Linked DNA regions of Caenorhabditis elegans. The protein of the gene in region 1 purifies or fractionates together with the protein of each later gene. This does not show direct contact. Each region holds a gene or a part of one and is shown in the gene's direction. Other genes may lie near its edges.

What was found.
Region 2: the proteins of xpb-1 (region 1) and cyh-1 fractionate together in Caenorhabditis elegans (co-fractionation; one large-scale study listed by BioGRID). This does not show direct contact.

Annotation. Positions count from the first base shown.
Region 1 is NC_003281.10:11,522,855-11,530,692, forward strand, and holds the start of xpb-1 (General transcription and DNA repair factor IIH helicase/translocase subunit XPB), read left to right. Parts: upstream 1-3,802; 5' UTR 3,803-3,827; coding exon 3,828-3,930; intron 3,931-3,984; coding exon 3,985-4,085; intron 4,086-4,438; coding exon 4,439-4,549; intron 4,550-5,434; coding exon 5,435-6,364; intron 6,365-7,838. Other genes in the region: such-1 (Suppressor of spindle checkpoint defect 1), read right to left, coding at 194-457, 528-653, 705-904; Y66D12A.16 (Spen family transcriptional repressor), read left to right, coding at 1,550-1,688, 1,745-2,020, 3,441-3,607.
Region 2 is NC_003280.10:3,501,482-3,512,106, forward strand, and holds cyh-1 (Cyclin-H), read left to right. Parts: upstream 1-3,537; coding exon 3,538-3,609; intron 3,610-4,053; coding exon 4,054-4,172; intron 4,173-4,592; coding exon 4,593-4,701; intron 4,702-5,151; coding exon 5,152-5,234; intron 5,235-5,275; coding exon 5,276-5,383; intron 5,384-5,946; coding exon 5,947-6,128; intron 6,129-6,988; coding exon 6,989-7,115; intron 7,116-7,754; coding exon 7,755-7,968; 3' UTR 7,969-9,064; downstream 9,065-10,625. Other genes in the region: col-71 (Cuticle collagen 71), read right to left, coding at 84-444, 868-963; Y49F6B.2 (Fcf2 pre-rRNA processing C-terminal domain-containing protein), read left to right, coding at 1,493-1,603, 1,692-1,931, 2,000-2,164, 2,211-2,335, 3,228-3,345; Y49F6B.19 (TransThyretin-Related family domain), read right to left, coding at 9,065-9,187, 9,495-9,608.

The DNA of each region.
Region 1 (7,838 bases):
GCTTTCAAAAACCAGAAAAGTGGGGATTTAAATTAATTTTTGAACGAAATTTACGCTTTCGATTTTTTTTACTGAAAAGAAAAACGGAAAGATACACAATTTTTGCGATTTTTTGACCAAAAAATGAATTTTTAACGGAATTTTTCCACCCAAAAAAGGCAAAAAATCGCAATTTTTCAGTGAAAATTCATACATAATCTCTAAAGTTCCTGAAATAATCCATTTTTGGAATTTCTCTGCAATCTCAAAAGTTCCATTCTGCGAGGTTCTTGTGTACTGCATCATGACGCGTTTTATCCAAATATACAAAAACGAGTTGCTATTCATAAAAGTGAGCTCGTCGAGCCAAGAATCTTCACGTTTTAGCACTTTCTCGTGATTTGGACGTTTTGCAGTGTAGAATGCGTCTTCAAAGAGCATTTCTATTTGATCTTCACCGTGCGCGAGCTTTTCCATGCTGAAAATTACGAAAATCACGTTTTTTGTGTTGAAAAAACTCGGAATTTTGAAAAATTATTCTAGAAAACCTTGTAACAAATCGATAATAAATGGATCGCCCGAGCCCATCGTTCAAAATTCTCACGATACAGCGAAAATCGTCGTAGGAAATTTCAGATTTCATGATGATTAAGCCATAGAGAACTGTGAATACTCTGAAAAACCAAATTTTATTTTTCATTTTCAACATTTTTATTCCAAAAAACCGAGTTTTCTCATCCTTATCGAAAGGCTTCAGGCTTGGCACCGCGCCAACTCCGAAATGTGCGTGAAAAAGTGTGCGAATTAGTTGAAAAATGGCGATTTTCGTTGGTGTCACAGGTTCGCCGGTGATATTCAGTAGAGTATGGCCAAAAAGTGAATCCAGACTGACGATTCGTCGAGTTTGCGCTTTTTTCGGAGGCATTCTGGAAGAAATTGAGGTTAAAATGCATTTAAATGAGGGAAAACGGGTTTTGAAAAGCGCGCGCGCGCCAAAAAGTTGTCTGTGGCGCATTTGAACGAATTTTCTGAGAAAAATCATGGAAAATACATTTTATTTAGCAATGTATCTGAATTTTTGCCAAAAAATCGAGAAAATGTGTTTTTTATGCGACAAATGAAAATACACTTTATTCGGCAAATTATTGATTATTTGCGCAAAAAACACTGAAAAATCGAACAAAAATTGAGAAAAAACCAGAAAACAGGGATTCGGGCCTAAATTCATCGGAAAATGTGTTACTGGACGGTTTTTTTCGCGCGAAAATGATGGAAAATGCAATTTATCTGACAAATTATTGATTTTCTCCGAAAAAAATACACTGAACAATAGGGAAAACGGAAATTTTCGACTTCAAAATAAAATAAAAACAAAACAAATTAAATTTTGTTTTCCGAGAGACCGCTCTTCAGCACACACATCGAGAGAGACGCAGAGAATCGGGTACGGTAGCGCGGTGGGTCTCGCCACGACATTTTTTGTCATTCAAATTTTTTTTTGTGTGTTTTAAAATTTTTTCATGCGCAAATCCACGCATTTCTCACTTTAAAACGCGTTTTTCAATAAAAAATGACTTCAATCGCCGTAGAAGAATTATTTGGAAGAAATTTAGAAACGAGCCGTGCACCGAATCCTTGGCCAGCGCCGAGCACACAAGAAACTGAGCCATTTGAAATGTTCGGTAAAGGAGCTGGATCCTTTTTTGACGGTATTTATTTGAAGCTAAAAATTTATTTTTTTAAATCTTTTTATTTCATTTTTCAGACAAGCCGTCCTCCGACTCGGAAGACCAAAAAGATGTGAAAAAAGCTAATCAAGCGGCCCGTGACTCGTATTATGGAGCCTATTCCTACGCAACTCAAGATTTCTCATCGTCACGTGGATTGTCGAGAGATATGGAGCAACTGAAGTCTCCCGCCAAATCTGAAAGTAATGGCACTTTGAGATCGGAGCATCAATGGCGTGATAAGAGACGAGAAAACCACCGACGTCCATTGAAGGAACACCATCGAAGAAACGAAACTCGCAGGGATTACAGATGTATGCGGCACCTCACGAACTCCAAAATTCGCGGGAATTCGTTTCGCGGGGACAGCAGTTTTTGGCTGTTTTTGGCTTCTATAGGAAATTATTTTTGATTTTTTGTTTTATAATATTCTTGAGAAGCATCATCCGAATTTAAAATGTGTGAAATTATGAAATTTGACCGAAAACTGAAGGTTTTACAGGAAGGATTCGCTACGGCTTTCTTTAAAATGTATCAGAATCGTCAGTTTTTCGATTTCAGTCGTAAAATATGCCATTTTGTAGAGAAAAGTCTGTTTCACAAAAATCCATGTTTGACATTTCAAAATTGTTTTTATTTAAAACCTGAAAAATCGAAAAAATAAGCTTTTAAAGGTGGAGTAGCGCCAGTGGGGAAATTGCTTTAAAACACGCATATGGTACCACAATGACCGAATATCATGATAAAAATTTTTTCTAGATTTTATATGATTTTTTGAAAATTGAAAAAATCTCAGTTTTGCCTAATTCCTATTTGAATTACCGCCAATTGGATTTGTTCGATGGAGCGCGCTTGCACGTTTTTATTTTTATTTATTGTTATTTTTTCTTATTTTTCACCGACTTTTCATGTTTTCAGTGTATTTTTGTCTGAAATTTGAAGAAAAAGTCAAAATAAATGCTATTTTTTGAAATTAATTAATTCGGGTTCGAAATCGCTTAAATGCATTTTTTTAATTTAACGCCTGTAAGCGTGCTGTTTAATCGAAAATTAGCATTTATTTTGACTTTTTCTTCAAATTTCAGACAAAAATACACTGAAAACATGAAAAGTCGGTGAAAAATAAGAAAAAATAACAATAAATAAAAATAAAAACGTGCAAGCGCGCTCCATCGAACAAATCCAATTGGCGGTAATTCAAATAGGAATTAGGCAAAACTGAGATTTTTTCAATTTTCAAAAAATCATATAAAATCTAGAAAAAATTTTTATCATGATATTCGGTCATTGTGGTACCATATGCGTGTTTTAAAGCAATTTCCCCACTGGCGCTACTCCACCTTTAAAAGCTTATTTTTTCGATTTTTCAGGTTTTAAATAAAAACAATTTTGAAATGTCAAACATGGATTTTTGTGAAACAGACTTTTCTCTACAAAATGGCATATTTTACGACTGAAATCGAAAAACTGACGATTCTGATACATTTTAAAGAAAGCCGTAGCGAATCCTTCCTGTAAAACCTTCAGTTTTCGGTCAAATTTCATAATTTCACACATTTTAAATTCGGATGATGCTTCTCAAGAATATTATAAAACAAAAAAATAAAAATAATTTCCTATAGAAGCCAAAAACTGCTGTCCCCGCGAAACGAGTTCCCGCGAATTCTGGAGTTCGTGAGGTGCCGCGAGAGATCGCGTTCTAATAATTATGAACAATTTTTTTGTTAATTTCAGCCATTTCAGCCGTCGAAACAGTCCACGAAACTATAAAAATCGAGTCTCGCCGCACCGTGGCCTGCGAAGGAAATGTCTATTTCGAAGAAACGAACGTCATTCAATTTCCCAAAAATCTGCCGCCCAACGTACACGTGATCACCGCCGCCCAATATGGATCGAATTAAATGTTTATTTATAAATATTCGTTTTTTTTTTTGTTTTTTGTTTTATTATGAAAGTCTAGTGAAAAGAACTAGCTGTTTTATAAATTTATATGTCTCCCCTCTGGCTCCTCTCCTGTGTCTGCATATTGTCGTGAATTTCGCTGTATTTGCGTACTTTTTCTCCCCCGGTTTTCTTCCTTTTTTTTCGTATTTTAGACGAATTTTCAATTTTCCAAAAGAAATGGCGACGAAAGAGCGAAAACGACGCGGAAAATGGGATACCTACAAAGCAGAAGAAGCTCCATCATTGTATTCTGGAAATGCTGACAAGGAAACTAGTTCTGGTAACGCGGGGCTCTTTTCCTGGAAATTTTCGAATTAAAAAATTAAATTTTTAGTTCCAAAAGCTGCCTCGCACAATTTGAACGGAGAAAATGCGTCGTCAGTGATGACTGATGAGTTTGGAGCCAAAGATTATCGAAAGGATATGCCATTGAAAGTATGGAGAAGCTCTAAAAATTCGAAAAAATGGTCTGACAAGCTTGAAAAACCCAGAAAAATGGCAATTTTTACAATTTTTTGGCAAAAAAACCCTAATTTTCATGATTTTTTCACCCAATTTTCAGTAAATTAACGATTTTTCCCCCGAAATATCGAAAATTTGGTTAATTTCCAGGGAAAATCGTAAAAATTACTTTATTCTAAAATAATTTCGGTCTGAAAAATGTAAAAAGTTACGAATTTTTGCTATTTTTTTTTGTTTTTTTCGGTCAAAAAATCGTTAAAAAACACTTTTTTTCGAGTTTTTCAACCCAAATTGGCAAATTTTAATTGAAAATTCACAATTTTCAGGGTGATTTCACTGCAAGACCGCTGTGGGTTGCTCCGGATGGTCATATTTTCCTCGAGTCGTTCAGCCCGGTTTACAAGCACGCCAGGGACTTTTTAATTGCAATTTCAGAGGTTATTAACGTCTTTTTTCAGTTAATTCTGAAAAAAATTCATTTAAAAAAATTTGATTCATCTGAAAAGATTTATTTGTAAAAATTATGTTTGGCCAATTTTTTTTTGATTTTTTAATTTTTTTTTCCGTAAAAAATTCCAAATTAGTGCTTTTCAGGTCAATTTTAGAGGTTCAGCACTTTTTTTTCATGGAAAATGACTGAAAATTTGAGCCTAAAATTAACAAATATTAAATTTTTCCAAAAAAAAAAAATCGAAATTCTGATTTTTCAATTTTTCGATTATCTCTTACACATATTGCCAGAATTGAAAATTTCCGACAAATCGTCAAAGTGTCGGGATTTAAATTTTCCGGCAAATCGGCAACTTGCCGGAATTGAAAATTTCCGGCAAATCGGCAAATTGCCGGTATTGAAAGTTTCCGGCAAATCTGCAAATTGCCAGAATTGAAAGTTTCCGGCAAATCGACAAATTGCCGGAGTTTAAAATTCCGGCAAATCGGCAAATTGCCGGATTTGAAATTTTCCGGCAAATCTGCAAATTGCCAGAATTGAAAGTTTCCGGCAAATCGACAAATTGGTGGAATTGAAATTTTCCGGCAAATCTGCAAATTGGTGGAATTGAAATTTTTTGGCAAATCGGCAAATTGCCGGAATTGAAAGTTTCCGGCAAATTGACAAATTGCCGGAGTTTAAAATTCCGGCAAATCGGCAAATTGCCGGAATTGAACGTGTCTTGTAAATAGCTGATTTGCCGAATTTGACATTTCCGGCAAATCGTCAAAGTGCCGGATTTAAAAAGTCCGGCAAATTGCAGAATTTATCGAGAAAAAAATTTGCCGAACTGCAATCGCCACCCATCCCTGCTACATATTCCAATTTTCAGCCCGTCTGCCGTCCACAACACATCCACGAATACCAGCTAACTGCCTATTCTCTCTACGCAGCTGTATCAGTTGGCCTACAAACAAAAGATATCATTGAATACCTGGAACGATTAAGTAAAAGTCAACTGCCAAAAGGAGTCATCACATTCGTTCAAATGTGCACTGTGAGCTACGGAAAGGTTAAGCTTGTGCTCAAGCATAACAGATACTTTGTCGAATCGCGACATTCCGATGTTATGCAGAAGCTTCTCAAGGACTCTGTGATCCAGTCGTGTATTCTAGATGATCGTGTGCAACCTGCTCAGCAAACCGAGCTTCCTGCACAGGAAAAAATCAAATTCTCACATGGAAATGAGAATGAGAAGGGTGTGGAAAAGGATGGAGCAGCAGCAGACGGTACGGCGGCGGCGGCGACAGATGGAAAAGTTCCAGCTGATATTGATGAATTCTACGGGAAAATCGATGGAGATGATGAGGAAGACGCAGAGATTCGAAATTTGCAACTTCTAACGTTTGAGATCAAACAAGAAACGATCGAAACAGTGCAAAAACGATGTATCGAGCTTGAGTATCCACTGCTCGCCGAGTACGACTTCAGAAATGACACTTTGAATCCGAACCTTGGAATTGATCTGAAACCATCGACTACACTTCGTCCGTACCAGGAGAAATCCCTACGGAAAATGTTTGGAAATAGTCGTGCGAGAAGTGGTGTGATTGTTCTGCCGTGTGGAGCCGGAAAGACGCTTGTCGGAGTGACTGCTGTGACGACGGTTAACAAGAGATGTTTAGTGTTGGCGAATTCCAATGTTTCTGTCGAACAGTGGAGGGCTCAGTTTAAGCTTTGGAGCACGATTCAGGATAAACAGCTTGTCAGGTTTACTAGAGAGGCGAAGGATCCAGCACCGTCGGGAGCCGATGCGACCAAGGTTGGAGTGGAAGGAGTGGAAAAATAATGAAGAATTTTAGAGGAAAATCTGAAAAAAATTGAAAAATTTTCGACTTTTAGATTTTCTGAAAAATCGAAAAATTAACCATAAAAAATAATTGATGAGAAAAAAATTAAAATTTTTTCAAAAAATGAAGAAAATTTCGAGCTAATTTTTGAAAAATCGAGAATTTTCGATTTTTCGATTTTTGAATAATCGGGAATTTTCGATTTTCAATTTTTTGAAAAATCGGGAATTTTCGATTTTTCAATTTTTTGAAAAATCGAGAATTTTCTATTTTTCGATTTTTTGAATAATCGGGAATTTTCGATTTTTCAATTTTTTGAAAAATCGAGAATTTTCGATTTTTCGATTTCAATTTTTTGAAAAATCGAAAAACCGACACCCTTGGTCAGAGTGCCTCATTTCGGTTTGGTCTACGTAGATCTACAAAAAATGCGGCAGAGTTCTCAACCGATTTCGCATGGTTAACAACGTGTGCTTACGTCACATTTTTTGGGCAAAAAATTCCCGCATTTTTTGTAGATCAAACCGTAATTGGACAGCCTGCCACCACGTGAAAATCGAAAAATTGGAAATCGAAAAAGGAAAATTTTTAGATTTTTTTTTTCCAAAAATCGAAAATTTTTGTTTTTCGATGTTTTTGAGAAAAATCGAAAAATTTGAAATCGAAAAACGAAAATTTTCGAATTTTTAAAAACCGAAAAACGAAAATTTTCGAATTTTTAAAAACCGAAAAACGAAAATTTTTAGATTTTTTTTTCCAAATATCGAAAATTTTTGTTTTTCGATTTTTTCGATGTTTTTGAGAAAAAATCGAAAAATTTGAAATCGAAAAACGATAAATTTTAGATTTTTTGATTTTCTGAAAAATCGAAAAAAAAAGTTCAGAAACTATAAAATATGATTTTTTTCAAAAATCTAATTTTGTTCTTTGATGAGAAAAATAATAAATATTTATTCTAAAAAATAAGAACAATGCCTAAAATTTCAAGCAATTTTTGAAAAATCAAAAAATTTCCGCTTTTCAACTATTTTGAAAAATCGAAAACCCGACATCTTTGATTCGGAAAATCACTACATCCTGAAAAATGCGTATTGCGCAACATATCCGACGCGCAAAATATCTCGTAGCGAAAAGAAAACTACAGTAATCTATTAAATGACTACTGTAGCCGTTTGTGTCGATTTACGGGCTTTTTGAAATTTAAAAAAAAATTTATTTATCAATAGAATATTTTTTAAAAAAATAAGAGAAAATAGTACAAAAAACTAAAATTATTAATCTCAAAAAAATCAAAGAGATGCCGTAAATCGACACAAACGCTACAGTGTGTCATTTAAAGGGTTACTGTAGTTTTCGCTACGAGATATAGTTATATTTTGCGCGTCAAATATGTTGTGCAATATGGATTTTTTTTGAATTTTGTGTGTTCCTGTAATACTTTAGACT
Region 2 (10,625 bases), on another chromosome or scaffold:
CTACGAAGCAGCCTACAAAGCCTACAGGGCCTAGAAGGCAGGCGCCTACAACGCCTACAAGGCCTACACGGCTTAAACCTCACCTTCAACTCCAACAGCAACAAACGGCTTATCCTCGTAGGCGGCCGCCGGGCTATTTCCCTTCACCTCCGCCGCAGCCGCATCTCCACCACTATATCCGACAGGCGTTGGCTTGCTCGGATGCACATCGTATCCAGCTTGACGGGCGGTACGGTTGCCTGCCTGTGCGAATGGGAAGCCGGCTCGCAGAGCAGCAACGTCATCGAAAATCTGACGAGCATTGACGTTGCACGTGGCCATCTCATGGGACATCTGACGTTTTACCGATTGGACGTAGGTGAAGACAACTGGCATTGTGACACAGAAACAGATCACCGAGACTGTGGAGAAGGTGACGGCGGCGTAGCCGATAAGGCGGTAGGCCTGGAAATGATATGGATTTTTAGTTTTTATAAGCTTAGAAGGCCTAGAAAGCCTACAAGGCAGGCGCCTAGAAGGCCTCTAAGGTAGGCGCCTAAATGGCCTAGAAAGCCTCCAAAGCAGTCGTCTAGAAGGCCTAAAGGGTAGGCGCCTAGAAGGCCTAAAGGATAGGCACCTAGAAGGCCTAGAGCGCCTACAAGGCAGGCACCTAGAAGGCCTACAAGGCCTACAAAACAGGCGCCTAAAAAGCCTACAAGGCAGGCGCCCAGATGGCCTAGAAAGCTTACAAGGTAGGCGCCAAGAAAGCCTACAAGGCAGGCGCCTAGAAGGCCTAGAAGACCCACAAGGCAGGCGCCTAGAGGACCTACAAGGCAAGCCTATACGGCCTAGAAAGCCTATTAGGCCTACTCGAAATAGACCGCTCACCTTAGTCTTCGGATCATCATCAACGTGCGTCTTCAAGCCCATTTCGCGAAGCAAAACGGGTGTGGAGAATGGCTTATCACCGCCTGCGTTGCGCATTTTAAAGCCGCCGAAAATCGCCAACGACCGGTAAATCGGTGAAAAAGTTGGTTCGCATGCGAGAGATAACGTAACGCCGTGGAGACGCAGAGTGTGTGGTCTATCGGATTTTCGGCGGAAAATGCTGGAAAAAAGTGTTCCCTAAAGACGTCAAAGATGATAATGAACGATATAATTAGAAGCTTTTCTATAAAGTTTTTTGTCATTGAAGCTGGAATTTGGCTGAAATTTGCCGATTTTTCGCAATTTCTGAAGCTTGGAGCTTAAAAAGCATCGATTCTGCTCGAAATTCCCTCAAAAAAACCCGAAAACCCATCAATTTCCCGAGAAAATCTTGAAAATTTGGAGTTTTTCCTCTTCGGGGCCGAGTTGGAGTTTTCTAGGCCACGAGTTGCATCCGCGCTCCATTGCGAATATGGTTAATTTAATTTATTTATTTCGAAGGTTTTCACCGGGTTTTCGTCGGTTTTCGCTCTTTTTCGCCAGTTTTTTCGAATAAAAATTGAAATTGAATGATTTTCAGCTCAAAATGTCTGCGCTCTACTTCAAAAAGCTACGAAAACAGCAGAATCCCGACGTTTCAAGCAGCGAAGATTCGGATTCCGACGAGGAAATTCCAAAAAAGAAGCAAAAGCAACAAGTAATCACAAAAAACGGCGATTTTTGCAAATTTTTAGCGAAAAAAACCGAAAATTTCCCAGAAAAGCACCAAAAAAATCGATTTTCAGAAGCCTGTCGCCGAGGAATTCGATGATTTCGTCGTTGACAGAGCCGTACGTGAAGAAGCGCCAAAAGAAGGAGCTTTTGAGGCAGTTGACCTGCTCGGAACATCCTATTTGGAGCCATATGAGATGGATAAGGACTTGCAGGAGCTTCTGGAAAAGTCAGTTGTCGGGCCGAAGTTTGAAGGCGATCATCAGCCTCAAAATAGGCTTTTAGGCCGGAATGCGGCCGCCAGGCTGAAGAAAGTGCGTTGAAATCGATGAAAATTCGATTAAAATCGCTCAAAATCCAATAAAAATCGCTATTTTTCCAGTCAGAACGCGAAAAAACCAAAGGATCCGCTTGGTTCAACCTTCCAGCGACGGAGCTCACCGATGAGCACAAACGAGATTTGGAATTCCTTCAAATGAGATCAACTCTCGATCCATTGGCTCATTATCGTCGAAATGACCGGGCTGTACTGCCGAAATACTTCCAAGTTCGAGAAAATTTAAAAAATTCCCAAAAAATCCGAGATTTTTCAGGTTGGACGAGTCGTTGACGCTCCAGAAGACTTTTATTCGAGTAGAATGGTGCGAAAAGAGCGAAAAAAGACGATGGTCGACGAGATTTTGCATAATGAGGAATCGTTGAGCAAAGCCAAGAAAAAGTACGGGAAAATCAAGAATTTTTGTGAAAAAATTCAAGTTTTTGCGTTTTTAACGTTAAAATCGTGATTTTTAGAGCAAAAATGAGCTAAAAAGGATAAAAATTGGCCGATTTTCACCCAAAACGGCGAAATTTTGCCAAAAATCCTGGAAATTGATATTTTTAATGCAAAAACTCGCTAAAAACGGTAGAAATTGACCGATTTTCACTCAAAACGCCGAATTTTTGCCGAAAATCCTGTAAATCTGCAGTTTTTGCGTTTTTTTAACGTAAAATTATGATTTTGGACTCGAAAACCCCAAAAAAATGCTGAAAATTGATCGATTTTCACTTGAAACGACGAAATTTCGTCGAAAAAACCCGGAAATGGACAGTTTTTTACGTTTTTTAACGTAAAATTATGATTTTGGAGCTCAAAATTGGCTAAAATTGATGGAAAATGGTGAATTTTCGTTACAATATGGTTTTTTTTTAATAAAAAAAACATTTTCCAAGATTTTTACCGAAAAATTTGATTTTAGGAGCAAAAAAAAGCCGAATTTTCAGAAAATTTCGCCGAATTTTGTCCAAAAATGGCGAAAAACCGCAAACTTTTAACTGAAAACACGATTTTTGACCAAAAAAACGATAATTTCAACGTTTTTTTCCGGAAAATAATCGAAAATTTTGAGAATTTCAGTATTTTTTCCTGAAAAATCCGCTAAAATCTCTGAAAAAAGCACAGGTTTTCCCCCCAAAAATCGATTTTTCAATAAAAAAAAACTCAATTTTTTCGGATTTTGAGCAAAACAAACGGTTAAATTGTGTGAAAATAGCTCAAAAATCACATTTTTCCTCCGAAAAAATCGATTTTTATATCAAAAAGCTCCAATTTTTCCATATTTTCCTTCCAGATACGCTGAAATTCGCCAAAAAGAGCAATCTAAACGACGTGGAGCATTCCAAAAATTCGGAAATCGCAAATCTCACAAGCAACAGAGAGAATCAAAAATGAAGAATAAGAAGAAATAATTTTTTTTTGTTAATTTTTTGAATTTTCACATTTTTTTTCTGGTTTTTGTTGGAATTTTCTTGTTATAGACTCGTTTTTTTGTTATTTTGTCGATTTTTTGCCCATTTTTCACTAATTTTCACTGGTTTTCACCCAGAATTACCTTTTTTTTTACCGAAAATTTCAGCCAAAAAAATGGCAAAAATTCAGAAATGTACGCGACGAGCACACAAAAACGGGAATGGACGTATACACCGGAAAAGTTGGCCGCAATGCGTTTGGAGGTAGAAAAATTGGAATTTTTTATGGAAAATAGGCTAAAAACAGCAAAATTTTCACTTAAAACACGGAAAATTAACAATTTCGGCATTTTTTATTTAAAAAATTCGGAAAAAGTTGAAAATTTAGTCATTTTTATTGGAAAAATTAAGAATTTCGGCATTTTTTATTTAAAAATTCGAAAAATTGAGCATTTATTTCATTTTCTCTGAAAAATTCAGGAAAAGTTAGAAATTTCAACGTTTTTTCCGGAAAAATTTATTTTTTTGTTTTTTTTTTCTGAGAAAAATTGAAAAAAAGTAGAAATTCCTGTAATTTTACTGAAAAATCTGAGAATTCCACCGTTTTTTTTCCGGAAAAATGGATTTTTTTTCGCTTTTTCCTAAAAAAAAAACTGAAAAAACCTGAATTTTTCCTCAAAAAATTAAAAATGCCCAATTTTTTTGCAGATAAACATAAAATTCCGTCAAAAATACGAGTCAGTAATGCAGCCGGACGAGTTGGAGCTCTTTGTGACACCTGAAGAGGAGCTCAGAATGCAAAGATCAATTGAGGATGCTGCTTTGAAGTTAGAATTTGCTGGATTTCACCGAAAAATCGGAGAATTCCCGTCAAAATTTCATGAAAAACGCGAAAATTCCGGCTAAAATTGGATTTTTAGCATAAAAAATCCGAAAAAACCATGAAAAAAACAATTTTGTACCGGAAAATGTGGAAAAATGCGATTTTTTCTCAATTTTCTGCATTTTTTGCACCAAAAATTGTGAATTTCGGTTATTTTCTATGAAAAATTGAGAAAATCGGAATTTTTGCCATTTTTCCGATAGAAGTTCAGAAAAAATGCAGAAAATTCACAATTTTGGCTATTTTTTCTGAAAAAAATTTTTTTTTTAGTTTTTTAGTCGAGAAAACCCCAAAAGAAAACGATTTTCACACGAAAAAACCTGAAATTTTCAATTTTCCCACTCAAATACCAAAATTTTTCCAGATTCGCCGACAAATTCCGCCCACACATATGGCCATCAGTGAAATGGACAGCCTTGGCGTTTTTCAAGCGGGCTTTTCTTGTCTGGGTGCCATCAGACACGTCGATTAGGGTAAAAATTGAATTTTTAGCTGAAAATTAGTCAAAATCGCCGAATTTTTGATTTTTAAACGAAAAAACCTATTTTTCGGGCCATTTTTGCCCAAAAATTGTCAAAAATTCAATTTTTTCATACAAACTTCCGAATTTTTTTTAGTTTTAAACGAAAAAATTCTGCGATTTTTGGTGTAAAATTGACTAATTTTCGGCTTTTAAACGCAAAAACCTATTTTTCGACTCAATTTTGTGTAAAAATTGCCAAATATTTTGTTTTAAACGCAAAAATCGGCAAAATTTTGATTTTTTTAACGCAAAAACTTGGATTTCAACTCATTTTCACTCAAAAATCGCTAAAATTTTGATTTTTAAACTGAGAAAACTCAATTTTCTGCCGATTTTTGCCCAAAATTCCCCGAATTTCCAACATTTTCCATCAATTTTCCATTAAAAATCTTAATTTCAGATGGTAATGATGGCTTGCTTCTACTTGGCAATGAAAATCGACGAATTCTACATTACAATCGAAGATTTCGTGAAGAATATGAAGTAAGTCCTGATAATCGCCGCTGGCAGCTACTCATTATCAGAAGTTACAGCGTTGGAGAACCTCGACAAAATGCCGAACGGATTTTGAAGCTGGAGCCGGAGCTTATGAAGATTCTCGACTATAATTTGACTGTACATTGCCCGTATAGGTACGGAAAATCGGGATTTTCCAGCAATTTCCGCTGAAAATACTGGAAAAATTCGAAAATTTCACGAAAAACGGAGAAAATTGGCATTTTTCCGGCTCCGAGACCTCAAAATTGCTTAAAAATCCAATTTTTGTCCGAAAAAATTCAATTTCATAAAAATAAGAATTTAGAGCTGAAAATGCGCTATAAAATCCTTTTTTTTCTTACAAAATACCCCAGAAAACCTCGATCTTGGTTCAATTTTTGAGAAAAATCTGAAAATTTCGTAGATTTCCACTAGAAAATGTGAAAAATCTCAATTTGCATACGAAAAAGCCAAAAAAATCACATTTTCCAGCTTAAAACAACCCTAAAAATGACAATTTTCAGACTAGAAAAGCCTATAAATCTCATTTTTCAGGCAAAAAACCTAAAAAAAAATTTCCATTTTTCAGCTGAAAAAAGCCCGAAAAAATTTCATTTTTAAGCCGAAAACCCGGAAAAAATCCAAATTTTCAGCCGATCAAAAACCAAAAAAATCTTATTTTTCAGACTAGAAAAGCCTAAAAATCGCCATTTTTCAGGCCATACGAAGGCCATCTAATGGATATGAAGACCCGAATGCTTCTTCTAAATTTCGATCTCGAATCAATCCGCCGCGATTCTATGAGATTCTTCCAGAATGCACTACAAACCGACGTGCTTCTCCTCTATCCACCGTCACAGATTGCACTGGCCGCCATTAATTTCGGGCTCCATGCTCAGGGTACGGCGAAGATCTCGAGAAATCGAAAATTTTGGGAGTTTTTGTGTAAAAATTCGAATTCCCCGTCATCGTATTAGTCTACCCTATAAGTTTCTGCTAAAAATCTCAAAATCCCGTCAAATTCGGTGTTTTGGGTTACTGTAGCCCGTGTTTGCGTACTCTCGGGGCTACAGTAACCCTGGAAATTTCAAAATTGCGCTAGAAACTCCAAATGTTCTTCTTTTAGAGCGGAATTTGACAGGAAATCCGAATTTCGCTGTAAAATTCCTAAAATTCGTTGCGTAAAGTGATTTTCTAGTTTTCAAAATTTTTGCCAAAATTTTTGTGTAAAAATTCGAGCTCCCCGTCATCGAATTAGTCTAACACAAAAATTTCAGCTCAAAATCTCAAAATTCCGTTAAATCTGGTGTTTTGGGGTACTGTAGCCCGTGTTTGCGTACTCTTGGGGCTACAGTAACCCTGGAAATTTCAAAATTGCGCTAGAAACTCCAAATGTTCTTCTTTTAGAGCGGAATTTGACAGGAAATCCGAATTTCGCTGTAAAATTCCTAAAATTCGTTGCGTAAAGTGATTTTCTAGTTTTCAAAATTTTTGCCAAAATTTTTGTGTAAAAATTCGAGCTCCCCGTCATCGAATTAGTCTAACACAAAAATTTCAGCTCAAAATCTCAAAATTCCGTTAAATCTGGTGTTCCGTGTTTGCGTACTCTTGGGGCTACAGTAACCCTGGAAATTTCAAAATTGCGCTAGAAACTCCAACTTTTCGTGTGCTATAGCAGAATTTCACGGAGAACTCGAATTTCAGATTTAAGATCCGAAAATCTCAATTTCCGATAGAAAAATTCAGCAATTTTGCACTAGTTTCAGGCAAATCCGACGAGATTCTACGCGAGTTTCTTCGGAAACTTATCGGAATCGAAGAGGACTCGTGGGCTCATCGTGATGCTCGTCCAGAGGATTTGGAAAAGCTCGAAAAGACGGTTACGAGGTAGTGAAGAGCACCGGAAAATTGCACATTTTCAATGAAAATCGCTGGAAATTGTCGAAAAATGGCAAAAATTTGACTCAAAACACAAAAAAAAACAGGAAAAATACAATTTTTGAGCCAAATTTTGGATTTTTTCAGAGAAAAACTAACGAAAATGACATAAAAATCGTTTTTAAGTGGAAAAAAAATACCGTTTTTAGTGGTAAAAATTGACAACAAAAACAATTTTTCACTAAAAATAGTAAAAAATCGCCATTTTTTGACAGCAAAATTGGGTTTTTAGCCTTAAAATGTGTATTTTTTCCCCAAAAATTTGCATTTTTATTTGCTAGAAACCTGAAAAATGAAGCTTAAGCTCAAAAATTCGGGCAATTTTAATGAAAATTTTTGAAAAAAATCTATTGAAAACCCGATTTTTCGCGTAAAAATATGTAAAATTGCGAGAAAAATCCGAAAAAAAACCATTTTTCGCATAAAAACCGCTCGAAAAAAGTGAAAAATCGGTTAATTTTTGGCTAAAAGGTTTTTTTTTCAAAGCTCCGGCGATTTTTGAAAAAAAAAATTAATTTTTAGTTTAAAAAACCGCTGAAATTTGGATATTAATCAATTTTTCTCCTAAAAAATCCAAAAATTTTCCAGAGTCAATCAAATAATGCGAGAAGTCGATCGAAATTTCGTAGCAGTGACAGAGCAAGAACGGGAGAATCACAAAAGCCAGCTGGCACGGATTCAAGCATTGATTCCAGCACTTGATGAACGACGAAAAGAGCAATGGTTGGCTGGTGGAGGTGTTGGATTGATGCCTGGAGAGCTCGCCGAGCAGCCAGTTGATTCTGATGACGAAATTAATTGATTTTTGCTTTTTTTTTTCGCCTTGCTCCAGAAATTCTGCTACAAAATGAGCAATTTTTAACATTTTTTGGTCTAAAATAATCTAAAAAATTGGATTTTAATCTCTAAAAATTTAAAAATTCGAAATTTCCGTATTTCGACTTTAAAAAATTTCAAAAAAAATCGTTTTTAATTTCTGAAAATTAAAAAAAAAAAAGTCTGTTGGCCTGAACATTTTGAAAAATTCGAAATTTTTTGTTTTTCATTTCAAAAAATTCGTTTTTAATTTGCAAAAATTAGAAACATCGTAAAAATTTCGTTTCTAGTCTCTAAAAATTTTAAAAATCGAAATTTTTATTTTTCGAATTTTAAAAATTCCAAAAAAGTTTGTTTTTTATTTATTTTTTCCCTAAAAATTCGAAAAATCTAAAAAATGTGTATTTTGAATTAAAAATTAAAAATTTTCGTTTTTGAGCTTTAAAAATGTTTAAAAATCCCAAAAAAAGTGTTTTTTGTCTTAAAAATAAGCCTAAAAATTGCCTGAAAGCTGAAAATCACCGAAAAAATTTTTCGGAATTTTTCCACTTTTATCTGCTATTTTTCAACAGTTGTTCAGTAGTTTTTATTTAAAAAATGGGCAAATTTTCTGATTTTTTACTGAAAAATATGAAAAATTTGACGAGTTCCAGAAGAAAATTAACGAAAAGCCACAAAAATTTGCATAAAACTATCGATTTTTTTCTTACAAAAATTCAGTATTTTTTTCATATGAAAAATGAAATTGTTTTAAAAAAATTTAAAAAAATCCGAAAAATTATCGATTTTTTAAAAACCAAAAAAAATATTTGAAAAAAGTTGAAATTTCTAAAAAAAAAACTACATTTTGTTCAATAAATTCGATTTTTAAAAAAATCGAATTTTTTAAACAAAAAATTATATTTAAAAATCGGTATTTTTCGAAAAAAAAATTCCAATTTCTTATAGCTCATTTTATCGAAATTTCTGGAGCATTTCCCCCTATTTTGTTCAAAAAAATCCCTCAATTCTCTTATATTATCGGGTATAATTTTATCATTTTTATCATTTTTACTGTGTAACTAATTTCCCTATGAAAATGCTCAATTATTTATTAATTTATTGTTTTTTCCCTCAAAAAATCGATAATTATCATTAATTTTGCACTTGAATGATGAGAATTGGCGGCGCGTATCCCATTTCTCCATTATTATTATGATCATTGGCTGAAAATTGTAATTTTTATTGTATTTTTAAAAAAATAATTATGCCCCTCTCCTCCAAAAAAGTAGGAAATTTTGCTAAAAAATTTGCGATTTTTCTGAAAATCGTGTCAAAATTCCCAAAATTTTGAGCAATTTTCCAGTAAAATCGATTTTTTTTTCTTTAAAAAAATCGAAACTTTTTTACAAAAATTCCCCACATTAGGATCCTTCTGATAAGTTCCAGAATCGGCAATCTTGGCATGCCGAATCAATACGGATCCATTTGGGAAAAGCTTGAAATTCGATGAATCCACCACTCGACCCTCACCCATTTTCCACGATTTCTCCCTCTTCCGAACGACATTATCTGATTGCCAGCGGCGACGGTTCGTTTGAGAGCCGAGGAGCCTACGGCGTCTTCGATCAGAAATGAGTCGCCAACCTGGAAAAAGAAGCCGAAATTCGAATTCTCCGTGAAATTCTGGTCTAGAAAACGAAAAGTTGAAGTTTCTAGCGCAATTTTGAAATTTTCGGGTTACGGTAGCGCCGAGAGTACGCAAACACCGACTACAGTACCCCAAAACACCAGATTTGACGGAATTTGGAGATTTTGAGCTGAAAATTATGGGGTAGACTAATTAGATGACGGGGAGCTCGAATTTCTACATAAAAAATTTTGAAAACTAGAAAAAATAGGTTTTCAGTTAGAAAATCATTTTACGCAACGAATTATAGGAATTTCATGACAATATTCGGATTTCTTGTCAAATTCTGGGTCGGAACGCAAAAAGTTGGAGATTCTAGAGTAATTTTGAAATTTTCAGAGTTACGGTAGCTCCAAGAGTACGCAAACACCGACGACAGTACCCCAGAAACACCGGATTTGACGGAATTTTGAGATTTTGAGCTGAAAATTATGGGGTAGACTAATTAGATGATGGGGAGCTCGAATTTCTACACAAAAAATTTTGAAAACTAGAAAAAATAGGTTTTCAGTTAGAAAATCATTTTACGCAACGAATTATAGGAATTTCATGACAATATTCGGATTTCTTGTCAAATTCTGGGTCGGAACGCAAAAAGTTGGAGATTCTAGAGTAATTTTGAAATTTTCAGAGTTACGGTAGCTCCAAGAGTACGCAAACACCGACGACAGTACCCCAGAAACACCGGATTTGACGGAATTTTGAGATTTTGAGCTGAAAATTTTGTGGTAGACTAAATTCATAGCGGGGAATCCGATTTTCACTATTAAAATTTCATAAGTATATTTTGAACTATAGAAAATTGAGTTTTCAGCCAGAAAATCACCTTATGCTACGAATTTTTAAATTTTCACTACAAAATTCGGATTCCTCGTAAAATTCTGGGTAGAAACACAAAAAGTTGGAGTTTCTAGCTCAATTTTGAAATTTTCGGGTTACGGTAGCTCCTAGAGTACGCAAACACGGGCTACAGT